2 linked regions of the Oryzias latipes genome follow. The protein of the gene in region 2 purifies or fractionates together with the protein of the main gene of each other region. This does not show direct contact. Links are inferred from orthologs where the notes say so. Each region holds a gene or a part of one and is shown on either strand. Other genes may lie near its edges.

What was found. The genes of interacting proteins can lie anywhere in the genome.
Region 1: the proteins of timeless (region 2) and tipin purify together in Homo sapiens (affinity purification with western blotting; 6 studies listed by BioGRID and IntAct, counting the BioPlex papers as one, with this or other methods). This does not show direct contact. The link is inferred for Oryzias latipes from reciprocal best matches to the Homo sapiens genes TIMELESS and TIPIN.

What each region holds. Positions count from the first base shown.
Region 1 is NC_019861.2:605,718-616,914, forward strand, and holds the start of tipin (TIMELESS-interacting protein), read right to left. Parts: upstream 6,233-11,197; 5' UTR 6,127-6,232; intron 6,023-6,126; exon of another isoform or gene 5,892-6,022; intron 77-5,891; 5' UTR 65-76; coding exon 1-64. Other genes in the region: lactase-like protein, read right to left, coding at 8,157-8,272, 9,609-9,672, 9,754-9,953, 10,030-10,156, 10,870-11,144.
Region 2 is NC_019863.2:27,118,877-27,129,983, reverse strand, and holds the start of timeless (protein timeless homolog), read right to left. Parts: upstream 6,907-11,107; 5' UTR 6,811-6,906; intron 6,336-6,810; 5' UTR 6,304-6,335; coding exon 6,222-6,303; intron 6,108-6,221; coding exon 5,954-6,107; intron 4,601-5,953; coding exon 4,486-4,600; intron 4,369-4,485; coding exon 4,306-4,368; intron 3,410-4,305; coding exon 3,308-3,409; intron 3,212-3,307; coding exon 3,056-3,211; intron 2,986-3,055; coding exon 2,852-2,985; intron 2,108-2,851; coding exon 2,020-2,107; intron 1,938-2,019; coding exon 1,761-1,937; intron 1,682-1,760; coding exon 1,464-1,681; intron 1,385-1,463; coding exon 1,281-1,384; intron 272-1,280; coding exon 102-271; intron 3-101; coding exon 1-2. Other genes in the region: prph (peripherin), read right to left, coding at 9,746-9,808, 9,900-9,973, 10,820-10,872, 11,101-11,107. UniProt on the Homo sapiens protein: Plays an important role in the control of DNA replication, maintenance of replication fork stability, maintenance of genome stability throughout normal DNA replication, DNA repair and in the regulation of the circadian clock.

The sequences.
Region 1 (11,197 bases), on a different chromosome or scaffold from region 2:
CCTCGTCCTCCAGCTGCTCATACAGGGGGATGTCGCCCTGGCTGTCCTCCTTTGGACCTCGCATGATGTCAGAGTCCTGCCAGCGAGAAGCAAAAACAGGAACATGAACGGCGTCTGCTGGCATTGCTGCAGAGGCGGCTGCAGAGGCGGCTGCAGAGGCGGCTGCAGAGGCGTCCCGTCCAACTGTAGGAATGGATGTCACTTCCTGTCAACAAAGGGTGAACAGTGGTGCTGCTGCAGTCTGAGTGACACAAAGAGCAGAGATAGAATCAGGTGTGGATTCAGGAGCACCGTCAGCAATGGCCCCCCATGGAAGAGAAATGTCACCAAATCTGAGAAAGGAAATCATTTCTCTGCACAAAGAGGTGGGGGCTACAAGAAGATCAGCAAAGCTTTACATCTCAGTCAAAACCCTAAAGCAAAAGTGATCCAGAAGTTCAAGAAAGATGGAAGTGGAACCATGACGTCCACAGAAGCTAACATCTGGACAGGAGCGTCTTCTGATGAGAAGGTTGAAGGAAACCACCATGCAGGTTCACTGCAGTTAGCTAAAGCTGTAGAACGCCAAACTGGAGGGACTTTTTCCCGTGACGCCACCCGGCGCACGCTGCAGAGGAACGGCGTGCGTGGTTATCGTCCATGAAGGAGACCTCTCCTGAAGACCGTGCATGAAAAAGCACGCCTACCATCTGCTAGGGTCCATGCTGATGAAGATGAAGACTACTGGGACTCAATACTCTGGAGTGATGAGACGAAGATCCCCGTTTGTGGAACCAATGACCAGGATGTCGGTCAGGCCGTCAATACACCCTGGAGACGATCGCGTTGATAGAAAAAGTAGAAACGCCGCTAAGAAGTTCATCACAGTTCTGGTGGACAGTCGCTGGCAGATCCAAGCGACGTTGGTCTGAACCCGCGATTTTGGATGCGACTGATGACCGACCGCCTCGCCCTTTGAAGCGGACCAGAGCCAGCTTCTTCCTGGGAACAGTTTGTTCTGTCCTTCACTTGTTCTTCTGTTTCTCTTCAAGCCGCTCATAACTTTTATGTCACCAACAATGGGTCACACCAGGATCCAATGCTGGAGGAGCATCATGAGGTTTCTACTACACCCTCTCAGGTGGAGGAACAGGTAGTGAGGAGGGCCTTTAAATCAGGCAACAAAGAGGAGCTGAGGGCTGTACAGAAGGAGCTGAGACGCGACATCAGAGAGGGAAAGACGAGCTACAAGAGGATGATGGAGGAGAAGCTGCAGCAGAACAACGTCAGCGGGGTGTGGCGAGGCCTGAGGACCATCACTGGATACAATGAGCCCAGCACTCAGGCTGAGGGGGACCAGACGTGGGTCAACGACCTGGATCTGTTTTTCATTAGATTCAATAGACCACCCCCACCCTGTCTCCCCCACTGCTGCATTCAATGACCCCTATTCTGCTTCATCCCGACGCCCCTGACGACTCAGCCCGCAGCCCCTCCCCTCACTAAGCCCCACACTGCCACTCACAAAAGCCCAGGTGAGAAAGCAGCTCAGCAGAACAAAGGCGTCAGGCCCAGATGGCATCGGCCAGGCTCCTCAGGACGTGTGCAGATGAACTGTGCAGCGTTATGCTGCACATGCTCAGTCTGAGCCTGAAGCTGGGGAAGACATCCTGCGTGGTCCCGGTTCCAAGGACATCCCTATGGAAGCGATTCTGTAGCATTAATAAAAAGCAAAGTCAAAACCAGAAATGCTTTTTCATTTTCAAAATGAAGCTGCATTTTTTGACTCAAAAATAAAATGAAAAAGTAATCCACCAAAATGCTTTTTCTTTTCCTTCCTCAACACAGCTTATTCTGTCACTTGATTAAAATGAAAATGGTATTTGACATTTCATTTTCAAGACGTTCTCTGGTAAATGTGTAGCAAAATTCATTTAGAAATGTCTAATTTGATGTCTAAAATGGATTAATAGAAATGCTTTTTAATTTTCAAAATGAAGCTGCATCAAATGACTCAAAATTCAAATATAAAAGCAATATTTCAAAATGCTTTTTCATTTTATACTTCAAACCGCCTATTCTGTGTCATAATTAAAACGAAAATGCAAAGAGGGGATTGCATTTGCATTTTCACATCCACCCTGGGAAACTTGTAGCAATATTCATTTCTCAAAAGCATTAGCAGAGGGGAGGCGGGGCGATGACGTCACTGCTTTCTCTGTGTGTCCGACCGCTGACACACACACACACGCACCAGGAGCAGACTGTGTTAGCGGCAGAGAAAACGGCTTTGTGTTGGTTGTGAACTTCTGATGAGTTTCCACAGCTTCTCAGGACTAAGTAGCAGCATGTCCACCTTCTGCGGTCCTCCTCCTGACTCACCGCGGACAAGCTTTGTTCTTCGGACCGCCAGCTGCCTTCGCACAGCGGAGCGCGAAGCTCCGACGATCGCTGAAGGCGGAAATGCTGCTGCGATCTGAGAAACCATCATATGAATTTGTGTTTCCAGTGGTGTCCAGAACAAAATAAAGACTGATGTAATTCCCACATATTTACACATTTATCTGCAGCTTCGCGCTGAATTTTCTGTTTGATGACAGCTGGAGCTCCATCAACAGACAGCAGATTTCTCTGTGCTAAACGTTGCTGGGTGGACCAAAAACACTCACTCAGGGCGAAGCTGCAGCCAGGAGACTATCTTGATAATGTGCTTTTATTACTGTCATGATTATTATTAAGGGCCTGCTCTGCTCGATCATATGTTTTTAAATCCGTGCGGTCAGACGACGCTGAAGAAGTTGGGTTGCGATTCACAGCTTCTGATTGGCGAGGGAGATAAAGGAACATTCTGCTGCATTTCTCGCATTAAGATCCAGGAATCCAGGTTTGAGCAGTCCAGGTCCAGCGGTTTGTGAACAGGACCCGGTTTTAGGTGATCTCAATGCGAACACAGACACACCAGGTCTCTCAGCGACAGCGGCCGTACACACGGAGAAAGCAGTGACGTCATCGCCCCGCCCCCCCTCTGCTAATGCTTTTGAGAAATGAATATTGTGACAAGGTGCGCGGGGTGGATGTGAAAATGCAAATGCAATCCCCTCTTTGCATTTTCGTTTTAATTATGACACAGAATAAGGGATTTTAAGTATAAAATGAAAAAGCATTTTGAAATATTGCTTTTTCATTTGAATTTTGAGTCATTTGATGCAGCTTCATTTTGAAAATTAAAAAGCATTTCTATTAATCCATTTTAGACATCAAATTAGACATTTCTAAATGAATTTTGCTACACATTTACCAGAGAACGTCTTGAAAATGAAATGTCAAATACCATTTTCATTTTAATCAAGTGACAGAATAAGCTGTGTTGAGGAAGGAAAAGAAAAAGCATTTTGGTGGATTACTTTTTCATTTTATTTTTGAGTCAAAAAATGCAGCTTCATTTTGAAAATGAAAAAGCATTTCTGGTTTTGACTTTGCTTTTTATTAATGCTACAGAATCGCTTCCATACATCTCGGCCGACTGACTTCAAGGACTACAGACCGGTGGCGCTGACCTCTCATCTGATGAAGACGATGGAGAGGCTGGTGCTCACACATCTTCGTGTCATGGTCAGCCAGTTGGCCTACCAGCCCGGTACCGGAGTTGAGGATGCTGTCATCTTCCTCCTGGACAGAGCTCTGTCACACCTGGACCAGACTGGGAGCTCTGTGAGAGTCATGTTCTTCGACTTCTCCAGCGCTTTCAACACCATTCAACCGCTGCTGCTGAGGGACAAGTTGGTGCACATGGGCGTGGACCAGTATCTGTCTGCATGGATGCTGGACTTCCTCTCAAACCGACTGCAGTACGTGAGGTCCCCCCACTGTGAGTCTGACATGATCGTCTGTAACACAGGAGCACCGCAGGGAACAGTTCTGCCTCCGTTCCTGTTCACCGTCTACACCGCAGACTTCATGTCCAGCTCAGCATCTGGTCACCTGCAGAAGTTCTCGGATGACTCTGCCGTTGTCGGACTAATCATGGATGACGATGACAGAGAGTAGAGAACTGATTCAGAGCTTTGAGGACTGGTGCCAGCGGAACTACCTCCAGATTAATGCAGGGAAAACCAAGGAGCTGGTGGTGGACTTTCGCAGGCTCACTCTACATTAGCACCGGTGAACATCCAAGGAAGGGACATAGAGAGAGTGGATTCATACAAGTACTTGGGTGTTCACCTCAACAATAAACTGGACTGGTCACACAATACAGAAGCACTGTACAAAAAAGGACAGAGCAGGCTTTATCTGCTGAGGAGACTGAGGTCTCTTGGAGTGCAGGGATCCCTCCTAAAGACTTTTTACGACCCTGTGGTGGCATCAGCCATCTTTTATGGAGCGGTCAGCTGATGCAGCGGCATCTCAGCAGCGGACAGGAAGCGGCTGGAGAAGCTGGTGAAGAAGGCCAGCTCTGTTCTGGGGCTGCCTTTGGCCTCATTACAGGAGGTGGGAGAGATGGAGAACGACGCCCACCCCATGTATGAGTCAGTGTCCTCTCTGTGCAGCTCCTTCAGCGTCAGACTGAAACATCCTGAGTGTCTGACGGAGCGACACCGCAGGTCGTTTCTACCTGCTGCTGTTAGACTTTACAACCTTAGCTGCTCCCAGTGAACCACGTTAACCAACATCATCCGCTCTGTCATATTGATTTTACCCTGTACAATAACTGATTATATGGTCATCCTGTGCCTTTTTTGGAAATGTATGTGTGTATTTTGTGTATATATGTGTGTATAATGACTCCATAGTTTTGTTTCTTTTATATATTGCTCTCTGTTCCTGTACTGCTGCTGCAACACGGAAATGTCCCCATCGTGGGACTAATAAAGGAATATCTTATCTTAAATGTTGGAGGTGTGGTAATAATGGAGCCAAACACTTCCATATATTTTAGGACTGTGTGGTTGTCAAGAAATCCTGGTCTGACATTCATGAACATGTGCTGAATGTATTTTCTATTGTCTTCCCCTTTGAAAGTCTATTTTTGGGTGAGATAGAACCATATGACCGACAACAAAAGTAAGAAACTGCTCTATGTTCTCCTGGAAAACCATGACCAGAAAACGGCTTAAACCTGAGCGACAGACTGGCTGGACGTTGTACAAAGGATTTATACAATGGAGAGAATTTCTCACTCATTGCCAACACAACTGGAGGTTTTTCCACTGCTTGGTCTAAATGGACAGATTATGTAAAGCCTGTAAGATCAGACTTAATGTGGAGTGTCACTGAAACGGTGTCATACATTTATGATTTGAAAATCCCTGAGAAAGCAAGAATGTTGGAGTCCATCACTGCAATGTAGCATTCATCATGTGCTTTTCAATAAAAATACACGTGAAAAAGAAAAAAGCATCCAGAAATGACCGACACTGGAAGAAGAAGCAAAACCCAGAATACACTTAAATACACTTTTTGGTAAAAATATTCCGACGCAATGCATTGTGGTCTATATTCACTGATCTAGTGAACAGCAGTGCACACTGGTTTTTCACAGAGACTTCTGGGAAATATCTAGGGCTCTAGATTTTGGAATTGTAGATTCAGACAGAACTAGAAAATGACAAACGCACTATGTAGTGCACTATGTAGGGGTTAGGGTGGGAATTCAGACACACCCCAGCTCCCCAAAGATGAGTGTTTCTGAATGACAACCTCTACTGTGACGATAAATCCTTCAGTGGACGCGTTTAACTCCGCCCACGTGGACTCACGCCTCCGTCTGCATGAGTCCGAATACGCTGGTGTTTATTCTGTCGTCTGCCTACAGGGGGCAGCACCGTACAGCGCTTGGTAGTAACCACAGAAGAAGAACCATAACAACAGAAGAAGAAGGGGGGCGGCAAAGTCCAAACCAAATAAAAACAAACCTGAAAACGGCGACAAGCGGCGAAACGACGTTACCATAGACCGGCCGAGGAAACGAGACGGAAACTGTGGAAACTGCGACCTGCATCTCAGGAAATGACGTTGGTGTGATTTTTAAAAACGACGCGTTTAGAAAAACAGACGCGCGTTGATGCAAATGAAACACCGACAAGCGCACAAACATCGAAAACTACAAAGTATTCACAAAAATAGCAATTACAGGGCAAAAAAACAAACCTGAGTGCCGGAGCGCGCGCCAACACACGACGAACGCCACAGGAGAAACCCCTTCCGGTGCCCAAATGCGGCACGCCTTCAAAATAAAGTTGCACTGAAGCGCTTTAAATAAAATTTCAAATTAAAGTCCAGACAGAAGGAATTTAGATACACAGATAGGCAGACAACGTTTTTAAGAGCAAGCACTTCACACCAAAAATGAATGTAGCTTTTATTTTTCAGTATTTTAAGCAGCAGATATGATGGAGTTTGAACCTTGAACAGGCCTCACACATCTCAGGTTTTATATATACAGAAAAGGACAAACAGGTTTTTTAAGCTTATTTACAGTCCACTTTAAAGGAACTTTTTTTTAGAACTTGTGCTTAGATTTCTTTGAGGTTTACTTCAAACCAGGGGCCTGTTTCAGAAAGGAGGTTCAACCAACTCTGAGGTTAAACTTGAACTCTGAGTTGGTCAATCGAGAGATTAACAACTCTGAGTTTTCTGTTTCAGAGAAGCTGATCCGAGTTAGGTCAATCAACTCTGAGTGGACTGATTCGGAGGTGAGCGTGCGCACCGCGACTATAAGAAGCCATTATCAATGGAGCGCAGATATCACGAGTCACCATGGCAACCGTGAAAAAAGAGGTCTGCGTATTTTTCTCCAGCTGAACTTGACGTGCTGCTGCAGAGTTACAGTGAATATGAGCACATATTCCGGAAGAAAAGCAACACCGCTGCATCTGCAAAACAGAGACAGTTAGCGTGGAAAACATAGCTGCTCAAGTTAATGCCTAAGTTTGCATTTAAATCATTGTTATAAAATATTGACTGTAATAAATAACTTTTTAAATAGCGTAAGGAGTGAAATAAAAAATGGTGATATTTAGGTTTACTTTTGAAGTGTTATTCCTGGTGTAAATGCATGAAATGCTGCACAGTGTACAGAACCAATCTGGGGGAAAATGCATTTAACGTCGGTAATGTTTAAAGGACTTTTCTGTTAACCTTCCCCTCTTGCAAACGTTGGTCAGTTTAATATTAATACATGCAATTGTGTTTTTAAAAGTGAACTTTTGTCTACCCTTGTATTGATCAAGTGGTATAAGTTTATATGGGATTAAGAAAGTAAGCAGTGCTAGCAAATTGTGTTTCCTAAAAGTAATTGTTACATTAATCTAATTCAATGTCCCTGATTTCATTTTCATGTAGATGCAATCCTGCAGGAATTAAAAGAACATGGCAGCAGCTAAAAATGAAGTATAAAAACATAATTCAATCAGGTCAAATGTGAGCATGTCATGGATGTAGGCTTTGTTGACAATATTTGACATGTGAAACATCTACATAGCAATACATATCTAATGTTGTTTTCATTGTATATATGTAATTGACTGCAACGAAAAACGGTAACGCTCAAACAAAAACGTATGGAGCAATGACAAAAAATCCAGTCTAGGTCTCAAAATCCTCGCACGACGTAAATGTAATTCTCTAGGAATTAATGCAGCCTCCTCGTCTATTGGGTCCTCCAAAAAAGGACAAGCCATTCTTGTCACTTAGACCGTCTCTGTGTGACGGAAATTTGGGCAATGAAGGTTAAAGCAAAAAATACCGCTTCGTCTTTAAAAAGGGGAGGGGACCGGCAGAAACTTTGAGTTTGGAGAATAAAACCTGCTCCCGACCAGGTTAGGTTCACAGCGTAAGTAACCATGGACACTGACTCCGAGTATAAGTTACCTCTCTTTCAGAAACGGGTTTGACTTACTCTGCTTTCTCTGGTTTAACAAACCTCCCATTCTGAAACGGAAAACCCAGGGTTTCCCTGATTTCAGGGTTAACATACTCAGAGTTTACACTTAACCTCCTTTCTGAAACAGGCCCCAGATGGACCTCTTGGAAAAACAAACCTTTAGTTATCCACTGAGCTTCATTGATGCTTTGAAACAGGTTCTGACTGGATTTATTGATGATTGGAAACCAGCCTTGACTCCAGTTGAAGCCTTAGAAGGCTGTCGGGCTGATGCAGATTTGATGGTATGAGTTTCTCAGAGGCGTCTCCTCAGCAGGAACATGAAGAAAATGGCGCTGAGCAGGACGCAGAGCGTGCACACGGTGGGAACCACGATCTCGCTCACCATCTCCTTGTGGCCCCGCAGTGGATCTGTGGGATCACAGCAGATCACAGGAGCACAACTTTGAGGAAGCAGAAATCCACAGCCAGATACTGCAGCTGCTGTCGCACAAACCACCAACAAACACCCACAAAATCAGTCACATCTTCACAAATGCTGTCATTTTTCACCAAATATAGCCCCAAGCATTGCAGAGTCCAGATTTCCTGCATTTTTGTCACCATTTTAGTTCATATTTACAAAAATAAAAGATCTTAAAGCAGGCTTGCCCTGTTTTCTTATTATCATCGTCTTATAATGACGATTATTATAATACTGTCATTGTTTTCGTCTGTTCATCAAACAGTCTTTATTTTTCCTCCTCTTAAAAACATAAACCATCATAAACCACTTAGATATGAGTCCGCTGGTTGGATCAGAAATGATCTGGTCCTTGTTTACCTGTCTTCTTGATGCTTCAACAGTTTCCAACTAAAGCAGTAAACTAAAGTTTCTTAGCCAAATGTTTGTCTTTAGAATGATCAGATCTGCTTTTGTTTTGAACATTTAAAAAAAAGCTAAGTATTAATGCAGGTATGTTTCAGCATTTGGTTTTCCAACAGAAAAGAAAAGAAACATTTCATAAAGTTGTGTTTGCTTTCAGTTGCTGAACCAGACCAAGGCCTGACAGTGGACCAAGCCACACCTCCATTAAACTACCAATCTCACGGCAAAAATACTATTTGTCTTGGATATGAATTCACATCCCAGAGGACAGAGGACTGGACCACAGTAAGAGTCATTTCTATGGAGAAGATGGGCCGTTTGACACTGGAGTGAGTGGAGCTTCACCTGTTTTTGTCAGCAGCTACCTAGCGGTTGTCTTGTGAACTGATGAGGATCAAGGAACCATTAACCCTTGTGCTATCTTAGATGGCCCCCCCTTCCATTGACGTGTTCTCCCTACCATGACAAAGGTGGTTAAAGGTGGAAAGATTTCATGTAATCCATGGACACCAGTGAAGATCACAAATCATTGAAGAAAAAAGGTTCAGAGCACTGTCTAGTGGGTCTAGATGACCCCACTCCCAATGTTAAAGTGCCTGGGATAGAACAAGGGTTATGCCAGCCCCTCTCTAAAGAAAGACAGCTGCCAGCATTACAATGCTGTCATGAGAACTAATCCTTTACTTCTGCAGTAATGAAGTAAAGATCCTCTTCTTGTGCTGTAAGAAACGGTTCTACATTCTGGTAAAAAACCACTATCCGCTGTTCTCCTTCTGTGCTTAGACCTCATGATGCACTACCCAAACCTGCATGTTCTTGATCTCCCCACGGGGAAGAAGCTGGTTTAAAAAGCAAAATGTTCTGCAGCATCAGATTGACCTGCAGCCAGGAGCTGGTTACTGGAGAAGCAGGCTTCCTCAGCTTTCCTCTTCCAACTCTCCATCTGCAAAGACCCAGCCGTCCCACAGGTGAGCAGCCAGCCGAGGTCATCGTGTTCACGAGGAGCATGTTGGTTTCCGCTCACCTCTCTCTGATTGGGAAAACCATTGGAGCTGATGATCCGTTTGTAGAACTGGACAGAGGCCTTCGGGTACCGTGGTTTATTCTTACTGCTGAAGTCCACAAAGAACAGGCCGAACCGTTGGCTGTATCCTTCATCCCACTCAAAGCTGTCCAGGAGAGACCAGGCTGTGTAGGCCTTCACGTTCACACCGTCTCTAACTGCTGAAGGTCCAAGCACAGACACAGTCTGACTCCGTCTGTGCCAGAGAAACAGCCTCAAACACAAACGTCGGATCACCTTTGAGCATCTCATTGATGTAGTCTTTGTAGTACTGCATCCTCCAGGCGTCACACAGGTCTGTGCAGTACTTTTTCTCCGGGACGCCGTTTTCTGTCACGTAGATCATCGGGTTTCCGTACTCAGACTGAACACAGAATACAAAAAAGAGATTAAAAACAAACCCAATCAAGAAATAGAATGATTTCCAATGCACCAAAGATACATCTTTCAGCTAAGGCCTTTTATGGGGTCATGTATTGAATGGGCCTCTTTCAACAGACTTCAGAGAGGGAAACATTGAAATAACAAGACATTACAATGGCCCCACATGCACACCAAGGGGCAATTTAGAATCACCAATCGATGCAGTGAAGCATGTTTTTGTACTGTAGGAGGAAATCAGAGGCAACCCAGACATGCACAAGGAGAACATGCAGAATTCAAACCGGAACCTTCTGACTGTGAGGCCAGAGTGCTAACCACAACACCACATGTTCTCGTTCACCTTTGGGCTTATCCTGTCAGGGGCCACCAGAGCGAATCAGCTTTCACTGATTTGCACAGTTGGTCTGCCAGAGTTTTTACACCGGTGTCCTTCCTGACAACCTGTCGAAACAGCTGGAGGGATTGAGCGGGTTTGGAGTGGTTGGAAGTAACGCCCCTTCTGACCCTTCATGCATTTGTGTTGATGTTGCTTCTGTTTTGCAACTGCGGCTCATCAATGACTCAATAGAAACTAGCGTTCCAGGTTGCTGTTGAGTTTGCTTTGTCATAGTACCACTCTGGGTTCCAGGGAACCTGTCCTCGTTCAGTAGGTTTGTGTAAAGAGCAGCAGGAAGCCATCACTGCACTTTGTACCTTCACATAGTTCAGAAAGCGTCTGAAGCCCCAGGGAACTGAATACAGCCACTCTGAGCCTGGATCAGGCCATTTTGGATCAACCAGCTCAGCAAGGTCCCGATCCACAAAGTAACTATCCCCAAGGCCTGATGGGTAATTCTTCTGGGTGATGTAGCGGGTGGTAAAGTGGCCTAGGCCCAGGAAGTCGCAGGCGCCTCTGATGTAGGTTTTCTCCTGGGCGGAGAAGACAGGAAGCCGCGATGCTCCCAGGCCCTGCTGTCCACTCTTTCTACCTGAGGAAGAGTTCAGAGTTGCATTCCGTGTCAGTCAGGAATTCTAAACCTTT
Region 2 (11,107 bases):
CTCTGTTAAGTTATAACAACGAGACAGAAGTGATTTAAGGAGAATAATTGTAAAACCAATTTTGGCAGATAATTCACATACAAAATCGCACAACAACTGACCTGCACAACCAAGTTTTTCCGTCCTTTGCAGAATCGCTCCAACATGCGCAGAAAGAGATGTGTGGTCTCTACCAGGTCTTTGAGGTACGTCCCAGGCTGCTTAGTTTCATCGTATTTTCTCAGCAAGGTCAGGAAGATCTCCCTGAACTCCATCATGTAGAAAATGTTACCTGGAAGAAGAATGACAGAATGTATTTACTTTTTTATTTAAATCTAATATTGAATTTCTTGAAACATTTCTTAAAAAATGTTATTTTAAACTTATGCACTGCAAACTATTTAATCTGTGTGAATATTTCAAACCTTGTTATTAGACATCCAAAAAATTTTACCAGGTTTGAACTTGTTTGAACTTCTCTTTGCTCTAAATCTTTCCAAGCTTTCTCAAAATCAGCCTAATTGAGAATTTTTTTGTCTCAAGATCTAGAAATAGGGAAATTATTATTAACATCAGTAAAAATTATTTTTGCCCCATACGCCTAACAAAACTTAATTTAAGACCCCCAAAAAATACTAATTTTAAGAAAGGCTGCATGCCATTTTATGTACATTTCAAGTGTTCTATGTATATTTTAAAGGTAATAATAAGCGCTGTGATTTTGGCTTCAATTTGTAATATTTTTTTTAAGGTTTTATAAAAGTTGACAAGTTAGACTGTAACTATTCAGTAAATAAAAATGTAGGTTTATGATCTAAGAATAAAGTTCCAGTTTTAGATTTATGAGGATTTATGAAGATGGACCAACTTGTACTAACATTGCATACTTATTTTGTTCACATTTTTGTTCTAAAATGAGTCATTTCCACTAATTACACTAGTTTTTTTTGTCACTGTAATCAAAATGAACCTTTAAATAGGTCCATAAAAATGTAAAAAATACAAACCATTCGCTTAGTACAATCAAAAAAGACTTATTTTTGGGCTGCACAACATTACATTTTTAAATAATTTTATCTAACAGCTTTTTTAGCCCATTTGTCCCTCTTTGAATGCTTGTATGGAACTCCTTGTTTTTTTAGATTTTGATGTCTTATAAGATTTTTTTGTTTAATAACAATTTCTCACTGCATGGATGAATAGTTTTACTTTTTCTGAGCTATTTTCCTTTTTAAGATTGGTGTTAATTCTCTGTTTTTAGGTCACATTTTGGAGTGTGCTCATTAATATTAGAAACTAACTTTTTAGAACATTGGAACTCTGCCGGATGCCTTCGTCATGTGAGCGGTCCATCTCGTTGACAGTCAGCAGAAGTTCTTGATATGCCTTTAATGCCAAATGCATCCTAAGGAGAGAAAAGTCACAAAACTGGGAAAAATATGACATCTTTTATTTTAAAGTAAGCTTTTTTCTGGCATTCTCACCTGCGAGACCAGGAAGTGGCCTCCTTGCGGTCCGTTAGCAGCATCTCATAGTAGTTGGTGATGTTGCGTTCAATGAAATGAAAAGCGCGGATGGACATGGTCTCAGAAACCAAGTCAGCGCGGAAGTTGTTGCCGCGGTTGAAAGCCATGAAGAAGCTGAGCGCCCACAGGTAATAGGTCTCATCGTGCTGCTGGCTCTGTTCTCGGATCAGGTTCTCCTGCGGAGGGAATGAAGAAAATTCTAAATCTGCATGATGCGCCCAGCGCAGAGCTCTGGAAAGGATTCTCGAGACCGACCTTGACGAGATACATGAGCCGATTGTAGCAGTTCTCCAAGAAATCCACACAAAACTCACGCAGGAAGAGCCGAACGTTTAAGGCGGAACGGCGTTGCTCCTTACACTCAGAGGCTCTCTGATTTCTCTTGGGAACACGCCTCACTGCTTTGCCTTCGTCATGAGTGTAACTTTTAAACTGCAGAATGAAAAGCCAACACAAGCCTGTCAAACGTTAGTGATCCTAAAGGAAAATTTGCAGCTCAGAGGGGATCACCCACTTTGTGAAGCCTTCTGTGGTAAATAACATCTTTGTCCCCGATCGCCTTGAGGCCCTGGACAACAAAGCAGCCACCGAAGCGCGAGTGTCTGGAAGACACAAAAAATAATGCAAAGTTATTTATGAAATGAATTAAATGGAACAGAGGAAACCCCGTGAAGCCTTAGTCCCAACTGCCCTTGTGGGCGGATACAGGCCGTCTGCGGGGCAAAAATTGGGCAAACTTGGGTCAAGAGTTGTCCTCTGAGGAGACGTTTCCTGCTAATTATTTTCTCCTTATACTTATAATAAAACAATGCTGACTCACTATTTGTGAAACTTTTTGATGTTTCTATTTTTCTTAGAAAACAGACTTTTGCCCTCATAGAAAATCAGTTTAAAATTGATCAAATTATAACTTTATCCTCATAAAATATTGACTTTTACTCATACGTTTATTCTTGTAAAATTGGACATTTTCCTCATAATATTATGACTTTATCCACATAAATGTTTGACTTACTTTGTCATAATATTACGATTTTATTTTTGTCAAGTTACAACTTTTTCCTCATAAATCTACTTTATGTTTGTAAAATTTATTTTCCTTTTTATGGTGGCCCTAATACTCTGTTATGAGAAAGCAACATAATCTTTTCTGAAATAATAAAGAATCATATAATTAACAACATGCTCAATTTTAGACTGCAGAGTGACTGCAATAAAAATGATTATTACCCCAAAGTTTGACTCATGCTCACTTTTTGCTTCTAACTAACAGACGTCTCTATTAAAAGTGCCTTTATTAAACGATTGAGGGTTTATTTGGTCCTCACGTTGGACCATGCCTTTACCTGGTTCCTCTCTGTAACGTCCTCGAACGTTTCTCTGCGTTCTCCTTCTGCCGCAGCGCCTCCAGTTCCTGAAGATCTCTCTGCTTCTCTTCTGCTGAACGGGAATGGCCGGCGCTTACCAGGAGCTCCGCCGTCTGGGAAATAAAGAAAAACATTGAAATGGAGAAAGACGGAACTTACAGCTAGAAGACTCATCTGCCAAACCTGATCTCTGAACATGAGGGATATTATCTCCAACACGTGCATGCTCCACTGCTGCTCGCTCTGGGCCGACGCCAGGAACTTGACCAGGTCATCAAATCCGCTCATGTGAATGGCCCACAGCACCTTGTCATGAATGCTGGCATCATCATCCACCTTCTGCAGAGAGAGGAAGCAGAAGGTAAAGGTTAAAAGAATCTGGTTAAATGAAACATCATAGAAGTTAGTGGAACCTTGTTTTGCTACATAACAAACCTTCTCTTCACACGGGTCTGCAGGTACATGAAGTATATTCCTGACTAAAAGCAAAATCCTCTCAATCAGAAGGTTATCTTCCTCCTGTCTCTGCTCCCAGTCCTGGTGAAAGAAGTAGCAGCAGTTAAACAATAAATAAACACGTCAAAGAAACAAAACGTAACAAAAAACGTAGCAATGAAATGCAATGGGAGACACCTGAGGGTGTCTCTATACCCATTGTACAGAGGGTATAAAAAGGAAGTTGATGTGTGGTTGCCATGGTGCCAGCTTCATGTGAGAAAGCCGGTTAGCTCAGGGAGCAGCGTTAGCGTTAGTTGGCTCGAGCGGAGAGTGTGGTAGGACTGCTTTTATCCTTACCTGTGGATGATGTTTTCAAGCAGTGCTTGATGTTTTATTTTATTTTAAGACAGGATCACGGCAGAGGTAGATCCTGTTTTATCGGGGATTTTACAGACTGGGGTCAGGTATTTTACACTTTAAACAATTAACAATTTAAACAATTTTATCAAATATTTTTAATCTGGTGCCCCTTCTGTTTTTAGTGTTGGAATACTGTGCCCTGCTGTAATGTTCTAGTTCTTTTGGTTTTGTGTTTTGTTTGTCCGCTCCTCACGGGGCTCATTCGGCATGATTGACTAAGTGCAGGAGCGGACTACATCTTTTCTATTCTGTTTGTCATTTCTTTGTTAAAGTCACTTCCCCCAATTTATACTGGACATTATTTTTATAAGTGCTGTATCTGACCGAATGTGCTGTGCATCACAGTTTTCTTGGCTGTTTGAATTTTTTTTATAATTTTTATTTATTTGCATCAATTGTGATTTTCTTTTCTGCACGTTTGCTGTGGTGTCATCCGGATGGTATTGTACTGCAGACAATGATCCTGTGTTAATAAAACTTTGACTTGCTTCACGGCAGTTATCAGTTATTTTATCGGTGCAACAGAAAGTAAATGAAGGGGTTAAAAATTCATCTATTACAAATGAAACACTTACAAGCTGCAGAAAGTTGTACAACGTCTCACTTAAAATCCCAAACACTCTTTCGCTGGCAAATGCCTGAAAAGGAAAAACGACAAAAATGATAATTATTAGCTTAAAGTGAAGTCTAAATGATACAATCCAACTTCTAACAGCAGCTTTGGGGGGACTATTCCATCAACAGTATAGCCAAACCTCTTTATAAGCTTGTAAATGCGAAGTCACTTCCATGAAGTGATGAGTGAAAACTGGATCATCTGGAACTTTTCCAAAACACAACACAGCCGGCTGAGTCAGGTTGACCATGAGCCTGAAATGTGCAAAAAAGAATTTTAACAAACATTTCCTGCAACAACAAATTAAATTACCAGTATAACTAATTAAAATAAATATTCTTTAAAACTGTTTTTGATTTCAGCAAAAGAATATAAAAAAACTAATATTTTCTTCATTTTTTTTAAAGTGCCACAAGACGTGTGTTTATGATAGGGATGTAACAATTAATCAATCGCTAAATCAATTTTTCTTACAATCCAACCAGATCAGTCTGTCAGCGGGAAAGTTATTAACATAAAATTACATTTGGATTGAGAAACTCTAGGTGATGCACTAGAAACAAGTGGACGACACGTGATGACAGCAGAAAATGACCAAACCCTCATTTCAGTCAGACAACTCTTGCAGTAAGAAATATTTATTTGACATTTTTCCACATTCTTTAAGTTGGCATTCACATATTTTCGTTTGGCATAAGGCTCCGTTCAATTCCATAAAACTTCCATAAAATTCCATAAAATTTCCATAAAACTTTCGGGTAACAAAACCCCCTTTACGGAGCCCACAGATGGAAGCCGGGGAGGAGGGTGGGGCGAAGAATGAGCGCTGAAGGTAAGAAAGAATGAACAACTGCGCACCTGGGCTTAAATAGGATGCTGAGCAGGTGAGTTAATTAACTGAACCGCCCTAGGGTATTTACCTGAAAAACACTGCTGCGAGTATCTGCCTGAAATGCGATAAATCGTCATTACAGTCTAATGTGTGCAAATAGGCCATACAGGGTGGTAGAATGTTATAATATTGTTTAGTTCATATTATTCTGATGTGGAAAACAACAGTGGGCTGAACTTTATGAAACTAAAACATTAATGAATTTGCCATTAATTCTTGTTTATTTATTACTTGTTTGTACACATACTGAACCCTAGAGCACCATTGCGGGGGGATTTTCACCCGAGCAAAACTATTTACATGAATTTCAATGTTTTCATTTTGTTACATATACACAGTTGAACATAAAAGAACACCACTCTAACCTATGATTTGTTATTTTTTTATCTATTTTTAATGGCAAGTACTTTTTGTTTGGTATATTATATCAGGTAACAATTACTCGGCAAAAGTGGCGGTGTAACTTTTAATGGCAAACGTTTTCTAGGGTTCATTTTTGCTTGATTATCCTGCAAGAAATAGAATCTGGAAAATTGCATCTGCAGTGTTCAGTACCCAGGTATTTATCTCGAGTCACACTTTTTAGGTCAGTCAATCGGATCATACAGAATGAACCATTATCGACTATGAATCATTTCGTCAATCACAAAATGTGATATGAATCGAATTGGTATTAAAATGAATCGCTACACCTGTATTTCATTAAGGTTTGTACCTGATGCATGCATCAAATAAGGTTTTGTCTTGTCTAAACTGAACAATAAGAGGGAGGAGGTCATTCTGAAGTATCTGGCTAGCCCCCAACTGCCGCCGGACGTCACGGGAGTCGTCTTCATGTCGCAAATACCGGATCAGATCTTTGACACTCTCTGCACACAAACATATGAAATGTGTTTAAAAATGGCTGACAAAACCAAAAAAATAAAAATAAAAATCCTTTGTTTATAAAGAGGAGAAACTACGTAATCGTGATCAGCACTCACCCAAACAATCGGTTTCCTTGTGATAATTGTCTCCTTCCAGGTAACCAAGCGCACTACAGGTAGCCAAAATTTCACAATTCATCTTGATCAGATCTGATGACCTTCAACCAGCTGCTGCAACACACAGAACCTCGTGTTTAATTGTTTATGAAAACCAACCTAAAAAACAAAAAAAGGTCACATTGATTTTATACATTTATATTAAATATTACGTGTTATCTTGCATTTAAAACTCTACAAACAACACCATATCTGTCAAGTTCTTCAATATCCAACAACAGTTTATCAGTTTTCAAACGAAAACGTTAAAATTCTTCATAAAGAAACAACTGTATATGTAGACGCATGTTTTGATTACGATTTTAAACTTTAAAAGTCTGAAAAACTTTAAAAGTTTAATAAAGTAGAAACATTTATCTTAAGTAAGAGTTAGCTTTAACTAAGCTTAAGCAGAATTGACAGCGGAATTAAAACACCGACCAAAAAACTATGAACAGAAAATAATTCAAATAAACTTTTGTATGTCGTTTAGCCATTATCCAAACACCAGAGTTTGACGTTTTCACAGCCTTTTATACATTTTACTTACTGTAAACAATCAAAAAAATGAACATCACAACACGCGCCAAAACACTGAGCGAGAAACGAGAAAGCGGATGTAGATCGTCGTCATTTCCTGTAATAGTTTTCCCTGAGTTTGGTATTTAAGGTTTCATTTTAGAAGGGGAAAGATTGAAAAAAAATTTGTTATAACAAAGCATCCGGTATGTCTCTTTGTGGGACTAATTTAGGAATATTTTTAGTGACCTTTAAAGACTTAAATGGCGTAGGAGTGCTGGATTTTGGTTTTTGCAAAGTCGTAGCTTAATAATTCCTGCAAGTTTCAAAACAGGGCAAAAAAAGAAGAAATTTTTGAAATAAATTAAAAACATTTTAAATTACAGTGGTATGGTAGGAGATTTGCTACCTATAAAGAGAAGTCATTCCACATAAAAATGAGACATATATTATTCCTTTATAAAATGCTCCTTATTCACGATATATTTTAACCTGCAAACATTTGCCTTCCAGTAAAACACCCACAAAATATTCAATAAATGTGTTACATTTATTTTTGAGGAAAACAGAAAAATATGATGAAAACATATATGTTGATTTCCATATATACCATAACTTCAAATACGTTTAAAAACGTGTTTTGACACATTTTTGTTTCACAAAAATACATTTTATTTTAATGAACATTTATCAATGTAATAGCATTTATCTTGAAATACTCCAGGCCGAGAGAGCCAGTGTTTTCCTGCAATTGCTTATAGACAAAACAGATCTGATCCAATGATACGAATCCAGTTTTTTTTTTTTAAACTTTTTATTGTTATTTTGTGTTGTACAGCCCTTAAATACTCTAAATGAGTTTTAAAGTGATAAATAAATAGAGCTTAACCCTTGTGCTATCTTAGATGACCCCACCTTTACATTGACGTGTTCTCCCTACCATGACAAAGGTGGATAAAGGTGGAAAGATTTCATGTAATCCATGGACACCAGTGAAGATCACCAATCATTGAAGAAAAAAGGTTCAGTGCACTGTCTAGTGGGTCTTTTTCCTATAAGTTGTTATAGTTTTCAATAATAATTTTCAACTTCATTAGTTGAGAATTTGCACAGGTTGTTGTTTTTCCCTCCAGTTTATCGAAACGTGTTGTTGTGTACCCCACAATTATTTTAAAACTGTAATTTTTTTTAAAATATTTTTTTTACGTTTAGTGCAAGAGCAATTTTCGAACAAATACATAAATCACAGCATGCTATATAAATTTAAGACAAAAGAGACCAACATTTCATTCATGTTTTTAAATTTAATTTTAACTACACAGAAAAAATGTACAAGCTGAAGTTTTATTTGTTTTTCTTTTGTTTAAATCAAACATGTAACTTCAACATTATACTTTGGGTGATTACATTGTTTCACTTTATTTTAAATGTGTTTGTTGGCCACTGAACCTTTATGCTGTTTCTTTGATTTGGCTATTACTTATATTTAAACGTAACTTCAAAAATTTCTAAAGTGTTTGAAGTCTAAAATTGAATTTGTAGTTTAGAAAGCATTTTTTGTTTTATGACAATGACTTTATGACAAACCATTGAAATCTCGGAATTCAAATCCTTTGTTTTTCAACAAAAACCTTGAAGGAGAACTAAACTATTTATCTCTGCTTTCATCAAGACGCTTTTCAAACTGTTAGAACAGACACTTGTTGTGCTTCATGACAGTTAACAGCAGCGCAGTACGAGACGCTCTCACATTAACCCAATGCATCATGGGAGTTCACGTCACGTCTCTGATCTTCATTATTTTATTCGCTTTTTACATTCATTCTGATCCCGCAGGAAGCTACTAGGGGTGCCTGGATGATCCGTGACTCATGGATCAATAGCCCTGGTTCCGCACAGACACGTGGCGTGGATTGCCCCCCACCCTTCACTTTCCTCCCTCCGCGCCCATCATTTGTCCGTTCACACCGAACGCGTCCTCCGCTTCTGTTTTAACCCAAATCAAAGCCACTGCTGGACGTTTGTCCAAAAGCCGCTGTGTGTGGGCGGAGCTACAGTCTGGCCCTCCTTATGAAAGACACAGAAGATGTCTATATTTTGAAGAGCTCCACAAAGCTGTCGGCAACTGAGTAGTTACTCAGTATGAAACCTGAGCCTTTTTTTTTGATGAATATAGAGCTAATATTCTGGTGATGATAAATGTTTTTGGATCAGTAAAAAAATGAGTAATTTCCCATGGCACACCTGACCATCTCCTTAAGGCACACTATGTGCCATCGGCACAGTGATTGTGAAACACTGGTCTATAAGAAGGCTTGGTTTGACAGATCTATAATTATAACCTCGGCAAATAACAGAAACATTCATACAGACAAATATTGTCTCCAACTCATTTTATTTGCATGTACATCTTTACAAACAATTGTGTCGGATGCACTCATCGCTCCAAAGCCTATTCTGCACATAGAATTAGTCATACTTTCAGAATGTTCTGCGTTGTTCTGTAATCTGCCCGTGATGTTACAGTGATTTGCACAAGAAAAGAATAGTAAAGCTGCTAAAAACATAAGTAGACATGTCAAGCTAATTTTGTTCTGTATTTGAAGATGTGTTGGCCAAAGGGCATTGTCGGACAGTTTGTTAGTCACCCACAGGTATAATAACTAAAATCCGTTACGGCTTCTAGCTAAAAATATCTAGTCGTGTGAGGATTCCACAGGATTGCACTCTAGATAAAGGCCTCAAGTGGTACATCAGTAAAGTAGTTTTGCACAGCCCACACAGATTTACCAAAAAGTGGCTTACATAGCACCAAAGGGACACTATTTCCTATTGATTCAAAATTGCACCTATTCTAAGACACACTGCTACACAAACGCATAATAGGAATGAGAACTAGATAGAGGGAAAATGTTTCTCCATTTTTTTTTTCATGATGGCACAGGCCTTCAGATTATCAAACAACTCTACTCATCCTTGTCAGTCTTCCCCACGTCACTCTGCTTCTCCCTTTTGGATTCTTTCACCACCTGATGAAGCAAGCAGGAAAAAGTTTAGTCTCTGAGAACAAATTGTGATGGTTTTGGTTTGTTCTTTTCAAGTTTGTCCAATTCTTTGTACCTCTCCATCTCTAGTCTCCACAGTCTTTATCACCACGGTTCTTTTGCTCTGGGAGTCTGGAATTCTTTCGTAATCTGTAATATGTCCAAATATGACAAGAGTTTCAAGGCTTGGATAATATTTCTGACAAACCGCAAGTATACAGAAACAACAGTACAAAAATGGAAAAACTGCATGTGACTATTCACACATTTTTTAAAGTCTTTAACAAATATGACAATGAAGAAACATTTTCTATGTCTATTAGTGAGTGTTAGGCCTATAATCTGCTGTATCCCTTTTGGGGTCATGGTGTTGCAAGATCCTGTCCCAGCTACAGGTGGGTTACACTTGGGTCACCATGTTACACAATCACCCTATGAATCAAGGTACCCAGGTAAACCCTGTGCCACCGTGCAGCCCTCAGTGTAGGTGTAGTTTAAAAAGAACAAGGCAAAATCAAGAGGAATGTTGGGTTAAACATGAAAGAAAAAGGTTTAAAAAAAAGCTGCATATATCTAGAGGTAAAAGGCACTGTTTCATAAATGTGAAAGACACACCGATCGCTTTAAAAACCTCGCAACGTCAGTGTCTTGATTAAAATCAATTAGACAGATTTTTTTAATAAAACATTTTGGTTTGCTGTTTTTTAAACAACCACAACAAGAAAAAAAATCTGTAAAAAAATACTTTTTCTGTTGCTTCTTGCATTAGCGAGTAAAACGAACACTGTCATTGTTTTTGGAAAAGTCTTTTTTCAGAATGTGCCCTGTCATTTGGTTCAGGTGGATTAAGCAGCAGGGATTTAGCACTTTCAGATTTGACTGAGCTCCTAAAATAAACATGCACTCCACATAAATACTTTAAAAGTACAATTTTAGCACTGGAAAGCATAAAAAACACGAACCGTTGCTTTATGTACAGAGAAAACTACATCTTACCTCGTTCACCAAGGTGATTGCTCATCCCAATATTATAGATGGGGACAGAAATCCTATCAGGATGAAAAAAGAAAAGGACGTTTTTGCATCCAATGATAAAATTGATTTGCTCTTAGTTAGCTGAAGTCAAACATGCATTAGAATAGTTTGAGGTGGATAAAAGGCTTTAAAAAAAACAGCATCTGTTTAGAATTTAGAATCAGAACCAGATCTATTGAGCTTTTCACCCTAAATAAAGTTTTTTTTCTGTTTAGAGTAGGAGGCTAATTGTTGTCTCCCACCTGCTCT